3 linked regions of the Bombyx mori genome follow. Each later gene encodes a partner of the first gene's protein in a complex. Links are inferred from orthologs where the notes say so. Each region holds a gene or a part of one and is shown in the gene's direction. Other genes may lie near its edges.

The links.
Region 2: general transcription factor IIH subunit 5 (region 1) and general transcription factor IIE subunit 2 share a complex: the UniProt entries of both Homo sapiens proteins name them as parts of the TBP-based Pol II pre-initiation complex. The link is inferred for Bombyx mori from reciprocal best matches to the Homo sapiens genes GTF2H5 and GTF2E2.
Region 3: general transcription factor IIH subunit 5 (region 1) and DNA-directed RNA polymerases I, II, and III subunit RPABC5 share a complex: the UniProt entries of both Homo sapiens proteins name them as parts of the TBP-based Pol II pre-initiation complex. The link is inferred for Bombyx mori from reciprocal best matches to the Homo sapiens genes GTF2H5 and POLR2L.

What each region holds. Positions count from the first base shown.
Region 1 is NC_085109.1:11,979,526-11,983,728, forward strand, and holds the start of general transcription factor IIH subunit 5, read left to right. Parts: upstream 1-1,337; 5' UTR 1,338-1,464; coding exon 1,465-1,499; exon of another isoform or gene 1,500-1,729; coding exon of another isoform or gene 1,730-1,867; intron 1,868-2,503; coding exon of another isoform or gene 2,504-2,650; intron 2,651-2,768; coding exon of another isoform or gene 2,769-2,874; intron 2,875-3,388; coding exon of another isoform or gene 3,389-3,525; intron 3,526-4,140; coding exon of another isoform or gene 4,141-4,203. Other genes in the region: meiotic nuclear division protein 1 homolog, read right to left, coding at 1,730-1,867, 2,504-2,650, 2,769-2,874, 3,389-3,525, 4,141-4,203. UniProt on the Homo sapiens protein: Component of the general transcription and DNA repair factor IIH (TFIIH) core complex, which is involved in general and transcription-coupled nucleotide excision repair (NER) of damaged DNA and, when complexed to CAK, in RNA transcription by RNA polymerase II.
Region 2 is NC_085118.1:15,266,812-15,271,114, forward strand, and holds the start of general transcription factor IIE subunit 2, read left to right. Parts: upstream 1-1,435; 5' UTR 1,436-1,579; coding exon 1,580-1,641; exon of another isoform or gene 1,642-1,645; intron 1,646-2,373; coding exon 2,374-2,478; intron 2,479-3,302; coding exon 3,303-3,465; intron 3,466-3,922; coding exon 3,923-4,032; intron 4,033-4,303. UniProt on the Homo sapiens protein: Recruits TFIIH to the initiation complex and stimulates the RNA polymerase II C-terminal domain kinase and DNA-dependent ATPase activities of TFIIH. Both TFIIH and TFIIE are required for promoter clearance by RNA polymerase.
Region 3 is NC_085133.1:5,484,881-5,488,432, forward strand, and holds DNA-directed RNA polymerases I, II, and III subunit RPABC5, read left to right. Parts: upstream 1-1,355; 5' UTR 1,356-1,632; coding exon 1,633-1,727; intron 1,728-2,767; coding exon 2,768-2,876; 3' UTR 2,877-2,942; downstream 2,943-3,552. UniProt on the Homo sapiens protein: DNA-dependent RNA polymerase catalyzes the transcription of DNA into RNA using the four ribonucleoside triphosphates as substrates.

The sequences.
Region 1 (4,203 bases):
GATATGTAGGAGAAGTAAAATGTCCCTTAGAAATAAGGTGACACTCTACAAAACTTGCATACGCCCCGTCATGACCTATGCAAGTGTAGTGTTCGCTCACGCGGCCCGCATACACTTGAAATCATTCCAAGTCATTCAATCCCGTTTTTGCAGGATAGCCGTCGGAGCCCCGTGGTTCGTCAGGAACGTCGACCTCCATGACGACCTGGACTTCGAGTCCACCAGTAAGTATATGCAGTCGGCGTCAATGCGCCACTTCGATAAAGCGGCACGACACGAGAACCCTCTCATCGTGGCCGCCGGTAACTACATTCCCGATCCTGCGGACAGAATGGAAAGCAGTCGACGTCGCCCAAAACACGTCATCTCGGATCCTCCCGATCCACTAACGGTGCTTTTAGGTACTTCAAGCACCGGTCACCGTTCTCGTCGAACCCGTCGCTTGCGACGAAGGGCTCGACGAGTAAATTAACTCTTAGACACAGCCCACTGAGTTTCTCGCCGGATCTTCTCAGTGGGTCGCGTTTCCGATCCGGTGGTAGATTCTGCGAAGCACGGCTCTTGCTAGGGTTCGTGTTAGCAACATCGTCAGGTTTGAGCCCCGTGAGCTCACCTACAAAAGTTAGGGTTACGCTGATATAGCCTCTCAAGGCTCTCAGCTTAGGCAGGAAAAAAAAAAAAAAAAAAAAAAAAAAAAAAGAATGATTTAGAACCAGCAGACTTCAGAAATGATCTACGAATGGATTCGAGGTCGTTTGACCAAATATTAAGCCTTGTGGCACAATTTTTTTCAAAAGCAGGATACTATCCTACGATACTACTATAGTCTATTATATATCTATATTATATAACTATTACATATCTAATCCTACGATAGTATAAGTCCAAAAGAAAGATTGGTTGTAACATTAAGATTTCTTGCAACAGGAAATTCGTATCAAGATTTAATTTTTAGTTCTTTATAATATCCCAACCCCTTCTGACAAAAATTATCCCTGAAACAAGTTGGGCTATTTATAAATGTTTGGCACATTTAATAAAGGTGAGCGAAATAAATACTTTTTATTCGGAAGTAAAAAACAAACTAAGCCGTCCTTACGCACGGAGAGCTATGGGACGACTGAAATCATTAAGTAACTAAATGCGATTACACCTTCTTATATGCGTTTCTAATTAGGCTTCTAAATGATTTAGTCAGTCAGAAACCATCCTTGCTACTGAATTTAGCAGGTTAACTTACTGAATGCTATTACACCGACTAAATTTAGCAAAGTGTAATGAGCCTTCCACACTTACCCATAAATAATAGATATTAAGTGTATAGTCTATGAATAATAGTTTATAATAGTAATAGTATTCTGTATAACCTATGGTATCTACTGAAAGTAGGGAGTAAATAGGTACCTACATACTTTATTTACAATTAATTATTACATAAAGTGACAAGTTCTAAAACAATGAACCATGGTGAATGTAATGAAAGGTGTCCTCGTTGAATGGTATTTATTATTTTTATTTCTCACAAATATTACTTTTACATATGCAAACTTACAGATAAAGTTAGAATCGTTACAATGTGCTTTAATGATTTGAATTTTAAATTACATCAGTTAATCAATTTACTACGTACAATATATTAACTTGCCAAAGAATTTCTTCTTTGGTTTTTCCCATACTTAAATTTAATGTTCTGGGCCTAGGTTATGAGGAATGCCTTGTATATAAAACTTCATTCAATGTAATCCATATCTTTAGGTATGTTAAAATTTTCTTCTAGTGCATCAATATCTATTTGAAAACTATTTTTTATATAAGATTTCAATATATATACATTTTCTGTCCATCTGTTGCTGGCTGTTTTCAATTCCTACAAAATGAAACATTTTTAATCCAATATTATTATTTGATAATATTATAGTTATGTCTTTGGTTATACATACTACCACCTACAGAAAGCTATTTATCAAAACATAGTATTTTTTTAAATGTACTTTGTTTTCCTTATTTTTAAATAATGAATACAATGCTTAATTAATATACTGATAAGTTATATTGAGTAATATTACCCACCAAATAATAAAATATATATTTTCTAGCATGAAATAGACATGTTAGACTTAAAAGTCATTACCAGTTGTAAGCTCATACAGTTTTGTCATTCTGCCTACATCTGCCAAAAAAAATATACACATTCCAGTTTGATCAGTTCACTTGGCCTTTATGAAATATAATAGTAACTGATCTAATGTGTGCAATATTAAAGTGGGTAGCAGAAGTCACATTGTGATACCTATCAACTTCAGTAACTTACTTAACACTTCAGAAACACTAAATACTATACTACTATAGAAAGGCCATGAACTGATTCATCAATTACTAAATCCTTAAACTTGGGACATTGGCCTTATCTATTGCGCTCACAGTGGGGCGCTAATATGAGCTTGAATGGAATATAGACCTTAAGACATCATCTCATCTACATTAATATAAGAATTGGATTTACAGTTATTTCACGTCTCAGTTGTGCAATATATTCAGGATCAGATTCTCTGTATTTTTGTAATTCTCTCTTATATGAAGCCTCTTGCTTTTGAAGATCTTCTAAAGATGATAATATTTTTATTCTTTCTTCAGATATCTCTCTGCCTTTCTAATATTAAAGTCAATTAATAAATATATCAGTCTCTGATAAATATAGAATAGAATTAAGTTTCATTATAACTCTATAGACTATACTATACTAAGTAAAAAACTATAAATATTCTGACCGATTCTGCTATAAGGACTTCCTCAGTTTTCTTTAACTTCTTCGTACATTCATCAAATTCATTCTGGAGTTCTTGTAGCTTCCTCTTCTTGGTACTTTTTGCTTTGCTACAAGTAATTTATTTAATGTTTGCATGGCATTACCACAGCTTGCTTGATTTGAAAAATAATTTTGCAGTCATAAATTTTTAAAAAGCACAATTGTTTACTCTTAATTTCTCATAGCATCAGTGTGTAAAGTCCATGTAAATTTTATTATTCAAAATAATAAAACTAGTCTTAGTCAATGACTGACTCGGTGGTGCAAAAGTTGGCACCCCTGACTGCCGAAAGTTGTGGATTCGATTCCCATATTGGGCAAAAATTTATTCATTCAGCTTTACTGCTTACATGAGTCCACCTGGTTTTACATGGTAACCGAAGCCCATAGACATTACAACATAAATGCTGCCACCTGCCTTGAGACAAGATTTCTAAGGTCTCAGTTGTAACAGCATGATGACCTAACACCCTTCAAACCGAAATAAATAACTGCTTAATGGCAGAAATAGGCCAGATTTGACGCCAGATGATAATGTACTGTTCTGTTCCCAGTTATTTAGTTAGTTGTTTAACATAGTACCTTGGGAAAGACCAAAAGTACACTGAAGTCCCAATTTTTTCAGAATCAACCAGGTGATCATCAATTAGACTCTGAATCACTTCTTTAACTGATTGCATTGTAATACCCTTTTCTTTTGGTGCTATTTTTTCTAGTTCCTGTAAAAGTTAAAATATAAAATATTATCTTAATAGATTTTGTTATGGCCACTTCTGTTTTATGTGCTGTCTAAACATTTTCTTTTGAACTAATTATTGACTATTTGGTGACTCAACTAACATGATCACCAACAAATAAGAAATTGGACTCCTACCAAGTAAGTCAAATGATGAGTAAACATTCGTGAAAACTTCATTTATTATTACTTTGCTCTCAATTAATTAAAAAACGACCTTGCATTGCTAGTAAGTAAGAAACTCCAGACACTATTTCACACTGTCTCATTTATCCTAAATAAGAGATATATTTTATTGCTTAGTTGAGTGGAAGAGCTTAATACCCACCCCTGGTGTATGTGATTAGGTTACTGGAGTCAACAGACATCACAATGTATGTGCCACCCATCAGTATTATCAGATTTCATTAATTATTTATTGTGAAAGTCATTTATAAACATGTTTAATTACAAAGTTCATTACTAAAATTGGCACCTAACCGCTGGGTTTAAACATTGCTATAATAATACTGTTTAATATGAGTACATCTGGCATCTTATCGTTTAGGGCAGAGTGACATCGAAAGCTATGTATGAAGTTGTAATTTAATGAGGTTACCTTTAATTGAAAAAAATCTTGACTTTGATGGAATATTTCAAGCATTCTGGTCTTCTTTTCATC
Region 2 (4,303 bases), on another chromosome or scaffold:
ATTGATCTCAGACCGTTTCGTGTGGCCTGGCATTGCCAAAGATTGCCGTTATTGGTGCCAAACCTGCGTTGCTTGCCAGCGAAGTAAGGTGACGCGGCATATAAAATCTCCACTTGGACACTTCTCCAGTCCTACGTCTCGACTGAAGCATGTCCATATTGACATCATAGGCCCTCTTCCATCTTGTTCTGACTTCCAATACTGCCTGACTGCTGTGGATCGCTACACTCGATGGCCCGAAGTTTGGCCTATGCACGGAATAACAGCAGAAGAAGTGGCGAGCACCTTTGTAGCCGGTTGGATTGCTCGATTCGGAGTACCTGCTGTCATCACTACCGACCAGGGACGACAGTTCGAGTCGGACCTTTTCAGACGCCTTACTAATTTATGTGGTACTAAACGTATACGCACTACTAGTTACCACCCTTGTGCCAATGGGCTCGTGGAGCGCATGCATAGACAATTAAAGGCCTCTCTGATGTGTTATGATGATTCGTGGTTGAATGCATTACCTTTGGTCTTATTAGGAATGCGTTCGGCTTTTAAAGAAGATCTACAAGCAACAGTAGCGGAATTGCTTTACGGAGAAACATTAACGCTTCCAGGGGAACTGTTAGTACCTCCCGGTCCTTCTGGCTTCGAGGACCCGACGGATTTTGTCGTAAAGTTAAGACAGCGTATGTCTAAATTGCGTCCCACTCCATGTTCCTCACACACTAAACCATCACCTTTCATATTTAAAAATCTTTCCACCGCCTCTCATGTAATGCTCAGGGAGGATTCGGTTAGACGTTCAATGCAACCACCTTACTCTGGTCCTCATAGAGTTATATCTAGAGCCGAGGACGGAAAAACGTGGTCGATTGATGTAAAAGGGAAACAGGTGACGGTCAGTGTCGACAGAATTAAGCCAGCTTTCGTCGAGCATTCTTTAGTAGATCTCGTTCCAGCACCAGCACCGCGGGTTTCTGTGCCTCAACCAGCGCAACCGGATGCTACTAATGTCCCTTCATGTCCACTCGTGCCTTCGGCACCTCTAACTGCTACTCCTACGCATACACCTCAATATACCACCCGATCAGGTCGCAGAGTCCACTTCTCCAAACCTTTCGACCTATGATATTTTTTTCTCTTTTTCTGCGGATTCTCCTTCTCCGTAGGGGGGTGGTGTGGCGTTTTATTATGCGTAAGCCGGAACGCACGAGATGTGGGAAAAAGAATATAGTCTGTGACAATACCTTTTTACCGCCAAAATATGAAAAACAAAAATAATTTATAATGTGATAATAACCAATTTAATGTAATTACTTTATGCCGCTACAACAATAAAATTTATATTGTTCCAACTGTGGTGTTAATTACATAAAACACAACCAGGCGAAATAAAGAAGGGACTCTATATGAACTCCCTCACGTCATTTGTCAAAGATGGTCATATGTCACATGTCAAATTGCTCAAACCGGATTTTAAAGAAACAGGATTTGGAAGTGGAAAATAGACTACATTACAACAGCAATTAAACAAAATACTAATACAATTGATACGTACTTTTAGTGATTGTGTTTAAAAGACGAAAATATGGACCCGGCGCTCTTACGGGAACGGGAAGCGTTTAAAAAGAAGGCACTTGCGACCCCGAGGTCTGTTACATTATTTTTAACTAAACTATTCGCTAGTCCACAACAATGATTGGAGACATACTGGCATCCATCGCACACTTTCTCTGTCACTCACGTAGCCCATACAATTACTATCAATTCACTTCCTTGTGGCAATATTCATTACTGAGTCATTATATAAAGTTATGAATGGAAATATGTGTTTCGAAATACTAAATGAGTAGAAATGTGAACAAATCACTTGTGCAGAGAAAAGTAGAAGATTTAAATGTTAATAAGATATAATATCTTTCCTAATTTAATAGCAGCCAATATTCTAGATAAATATGATCAAGGCACAGGCCCTATTTTTTTAAAGATTATATTGACTGGCATGCCCTAGGTAAATTAGAATACAATGGAAAATGTTTCATTTAATTTAAAGTAATGAATTTTTTCAAAGAATCTGATCAAGCTGACAGCCCACATTATGTTAAGTGATTACCTGAGCCCCTAGATATAATGTGAATGTCACCAATTGTTTTGAAACATGATTTTTATCTAAAATGCTACTTCATCTTATAATCCATTTATGAAAACGTGTTAGAAATGTTTTGCCGTGGAAAAAATTATACAGGTCTATGGTATTTGAATACCAGCATAGTCACACTTGATAAAAGTACACTTTACATGAGCTATAGTTCAACCCATCGAAAGGTTACTGTCAAATTAGAACGAAACAAAATTAATAAAGTATTATTCTTTTCTCTTCAGCATTGAAAAAAAGAAAAGGGATGACTCTGAATTCAAAGATGACAGCAAAAAGAAATCGAAATCATCCAGCTCAGTCAGCTCCGGACCAAAGCTTGATGCTAGTAAGTAAGTAAAGGCTAGGGCAACATAATTAATAATTTAAAATATTCTGTTATCAAAATAACTATTGAATTTACATAGTTACTGTGTTCCGCATAAACAAATATGTGCATCATTTACTAATGCTATTTTCATTAATAAACTAGAAATCACATTTAGTTTTATCTTTTGACTAGGTCAAATTACTATATCAGCAATATCTATTCATGACATCAGTACCATTGCTTCCCATAATTTATTATGCTTTATAGGTAATTTTAATCGCCAATTCTATTAAATAATACTAATAAACTTTTTATAGCAATATCAACTTTTGAATAAAAAAAATTAGAAAAAGCCTTTGGAAAAAAAATTATGAAAAATAAAAAACACAGGATTTATTTGGAATTCGAAAATTTATATTATGATAGCCTTGATACAGGCTATATGTAGCGAGCTTTTTATTGTTAAAAAAATAATTTATCATTTAGTGTATTTGCTAAAATCTTATAAAATATATAAAAAAGAATTGATCATATTTAGTGCTACAATGGATAAAATATTGAGATAGAGCATATAGATACCAGTTCTTTCTCTGTTTGACAACTCTCCCTTTTATTTAATTTAGTAGCTATTAAAGAGCTTTTGTGTTATCAGAAAACAGTTCTAGATTTTTTTTTATATCACTAAGTAACGAAACAAAAGGGAAAATTTAATACTAAATTGAATCTAAACCTTGAGGTGTCAATGATTATGGTCGAATTTAGATCAATAAGCAAACACTAATAATATTATTTTTTGTTATATTATAATTATTGGTTAAATCTGTGATTGATCATCATCCTTTTCAGTTACAAGACTATGACTGGCAGCTCGTCCTATCGCTTTGGTGTGCTAGCGCGTATTGTACGGCATATGAGAGCAAGGCATCAAGATGGAGATGACCATCCACTGTCTTTAGATGAGATTTTAGATGAGACAAATCAATTGGATGTCGGAAATAAAATAAAACAGGTATCTTTTAATAAGTATTGAAATAATAAATAAATTACCTCAATAATAATTACAACAACACACACATTTTCTTATAGCTGATGATAAATGCAATTTTTATTTTATTACTAAGTCTAATGTGCTCACGAACCACCTGGTGTTAAGCAGTTACTGGAGTATATAGACATGAGTTCTAAATCTCACTTTTATATTGCTTATGCTTCAGTAAAGAAATAGGCAGTGTGGTTATATCTACCCCTGCATGCTCACAAGACACCCTATTAACACTAACTGTATCTACATAATGTATAAAAATAATCATGAGTAATTACTTTAGGAAAATGATGGCATTAATTACAGTATTATTATACCCCAGCACACAAGTACCACAACACCCAAATTGATTAAAATGCTTTTTATAAATAATATTCTATTTTAATTGATTTCTCTTTTATAACCTGCTGTAAACATTTTCAAGTGGCTACAAACAGAAGCCCTACAGAGCAATCCTAAAATCGAATGCTCTCCGGATGGAAAGTTTAACTTCAAACCGGTTTATAAAATAAAAGATAAAAAATCTTTACTGAGGTACGTATAATATTTTCATTATTTACATAATTCAAATGTAGTAACTAGAAAACGATTTAAAGATCATCACCTGACAAAAATCATATAAATAAAAAGTACTTGTTCAATTTGCATTTCATTTATTGTAGGCAGCGGTTTGGCTCTGCCCCTGGCATTGCTGAAGTCCATGGGCGACGGTAACTACTCACCATCAGGTGGGCCGTATGCCCGTCTGCCCACAAAGGCAATAAAAAAAAAATTGTCTTACTCTTATACACTTTTATTTTAAGCG
Region 3 (3,552 bases), on another chromosome or scaffold:
AATAAATTTAAAATTTCATACTGCAAAATTGCCTGATAACTGCACTGTCAGATATTTTTCACTATTATATCCGAATTAACGCTAAGGCCAGACCTTTGAAATTGTAAATAATTCAAAATACAACAGAAAAGTAAGAAAAATTATCACCAAAAAATTACAAAACCCCCTTGTTTGTTGTATTTCTTTTAATAATCTAATGTCAATTGTCAAAATATCATTTTTATTGATTCGTTCATATAGTACAGGCAAAGGAAATGGGACGCATACAGTAAAATGTTTTGTAATTTAAGCTGAAGCCAATCATCAGTCAAAGGTGAACTGGAACGAATAAACTGAATAATTGTATGAGACCGAATGGAAATTGTACGTTGTAGTTAATTTAGGGTTTCTTCAGACTTTAAAGCTTAAAATAATGGTTTATTAACCGTAAAACATTTGTTATAGTACACAAGTATGAGAAAATGGAGTAAAGCAGCTGGAAATGTATTTAGAACATATTTTTATGCAGCGCAGCATTGCAATGAGTCGATTCCTATATTGAGACGAAGCAGATAACACTGAAGGAGAAAATGAAATATACTTAACAACAACAACATCATAGGACTTGAATTACATGAAATTAAATAAATATCGCAGTAACTTATTATTAAGCAACTGACAGCCTAATGCATATTTTGGAAGAATACGAGAAGCTATGACTGACGTTCGTCTTTCATTTTCCCAAACTTTTGCATTTTCACATATTCCAAACGGTTCACAATTCACTCTCATTACACATGTAGATCTGATGAAATATTAAATTTACAAAATAAAATAATTAACTTTGGACTTTTGAGATTTCACAAATTCGATATGCTCTCCCATGCCTTAATGTACGGAATGAATGGTTGTTTTAACTTGATTTATTTACATTGAAAATTTGCCGATGATCACAAATGAAATGCTACGTACCATTTGACTGTCATCAATACTGATATGTTGCTGCAGGGATAAAGTCATTTTAACCTGAAATAATAGAGAAAACCATACATTTCACATTTTTTAAGAGACTGGCTTAGAAAATTTCTTGATTACTTATTAAAATATTCTAATAATAAGTAGACTGCTCCAAATATGCGTCAATCAATTTCACTCAAACGTTAAAAAGGAGCATATCTTACTCTCTAAAATCCAACCACTAAAAGTCAGTTTGGAAATTTAAAAAATAATTATGTACCATTCAAATGAAATGAACATTCATTCAATGTTTTAAAATGTTTTAAAAATAAAACATTAAAATTTGGTTCTATAGACTACATTCCTTTTGCCGATTGAAATCGACAAACAAAAATATCATATTTTCTTGTGACACTGTCATCTTTAATCATAAGTCATAGACAATACAATATGTAATCTATGACTGTCGTTGCGAGTCTAAAAAGTTTTTATCTCGAAGTAAAATAATATTATTGTGAATTGTAAAGAATAGAATTACAGTGTTTTCTCATTAAATTTAATGATACTTTGTAACTAAAATATCTTCTATTATTATTAAAAGTAAATACGTTTTATAAACCAAATAAATAGTTAAAGCATTGATACTTTATAACCCCAGTGCCTCACCACAACTTTAGGTTGTAGGAAATAAACAAAATGATTATTCCAGTACGATGTTTCACATGCGGGAAGGTTATAGGAAACAAATGGGAAGCTTACTTAGGCCTGCTACAGGCGGATTACACAGAAGGGTACTGTACAATTTAAGTTTTGCAACTGGTTTTTATACTTACCAATATTCTAGAACTTTAAAATGGAAATAACTGACATACATAATATAATGTAGTTATTTGATAAAAATTCAGCAAGAAAGATAAAACAGCTCCTCCCAGAAACAATATTAATGTTCTTATGAATTCAAATGACGGAATATGTAGGTGATTCCTGTTAACTTGGGTTTTTCTTATTTGCCAACTCATACTTACAGCCCACCTATCTTAAAGTGGTTATCATAATCCATAGGTCACAAGGTGGTAATTTTTTTTTTTTTTTTTTTTTTTTTTTTTTCCTACCTAAGCTGATAGCCCTAGCGGCTATTTCAGCGTAGCCTTAACTTTAGTAGGTGAGCTCACGGGGCTCAAACCTGACGATGTTGCTAACACGAACCCTAGCAAGAGTCGTGCTTCGCAGAATCTACCACCGGATCGGAAACGCGACCCACTGAGAAGATCCGGCGAGAAACTCAGTGGGCTGTGTCTGAGAATTAATTTACTCGTCGAGCCCTTCGTCGCAAGCGACGGGTTCGACGAGAACGGTGACCGGTGCTTGAAGTACCTAAAAGCACCGTTAGTGGATCAGGAGGATCCGAGATGACGTGTTTAGGGCGACGTCGACTGCTTTCCATTCTGTCCGCAGGATCGGGAATGAGGTGGTAATGATGGTAGATCTTGACACCAGATTAATCTCTGGACTGTTTTGCAATATCCAGTTTGAGTGTGAGGAAACGGAAGCATATAAGTGATAAATGTAAGATGATATCCTACTAGACAAGTAAGCTATGTAAAAAGTGGCCCGAGTTGATATAATCATTACTACCAACTGCAGCAATGAAATAAGATTGTTAATGCTTGTTAGCTTTGAGTATTCTTATACCTTTTTTAATGTGTTTATAGGCATAAGATTCTCTTGATAGTGATAGATTACTGGTAATCATCGAAGTCAGTTAAGCGTACTGTATACAGTAGATTTACTATGTGAATGTTAATATTTAATTGTATTTTTTTACTTTCAGTGATGCTTTGGATGTCCTTGGATTGAAAAGATACTGCTGCAGAAGAATGTTGCTCGGACACGTGGATCTCATTGAAAAACTCTTGAATTATTCCCCATTAGAAAAATAATGAAATATTTTTTAAAAAACACAATTAAAAATAAAAATCTATAATTGACATAAATTTTTTAAGATATTAGAGTTTTTCTTTCATACCTATATTAATCACCGCACAAAGGCTCTTGATTTACATGCCTCCCATTGTCAATGGAAAGTTTAACACAGTATTTATTTTAACTGGTCAAAGTCTCAAAGCCTAGGACATTGGTTCCTTCTGTCTATTTGTGAAGAAATTCTATCTCTACTGTATATTTAATAGCCAAAATTATTGTAAGCTCTAACATTTGAAAAATGACCTGCTGTTTGCTTCTTTTATAATCTGCATCAATTGAGGTTTGTATACGAGTGCGTGGGTGCAGGTTTTTGTCAGCTTATTAATATTCTGAATCGTTAAAGCCTTGAAACTATATAAACTAAATAAGAGTGATTTTTTCATGTACCAAAAAAAACTAGAGTAGGTTAAGACTAGTTACAAAAATTTTATTGTTATGAGACTTGTTTTAATTGCTTTTTACTTGTTACGGCCAATCCACATTTCATTATTGCTCATTATCAGCTCGTCACACACTTCAATTATCAATTTCTTTTATAATTGAAATTCAATCCTTTTTGACTTTGCCAAAATCCAGTTTTATAGTCTGTGGTTTTGGTTGTGCCCAGATGTCTTTTGGTGTGGTTTGTACTCT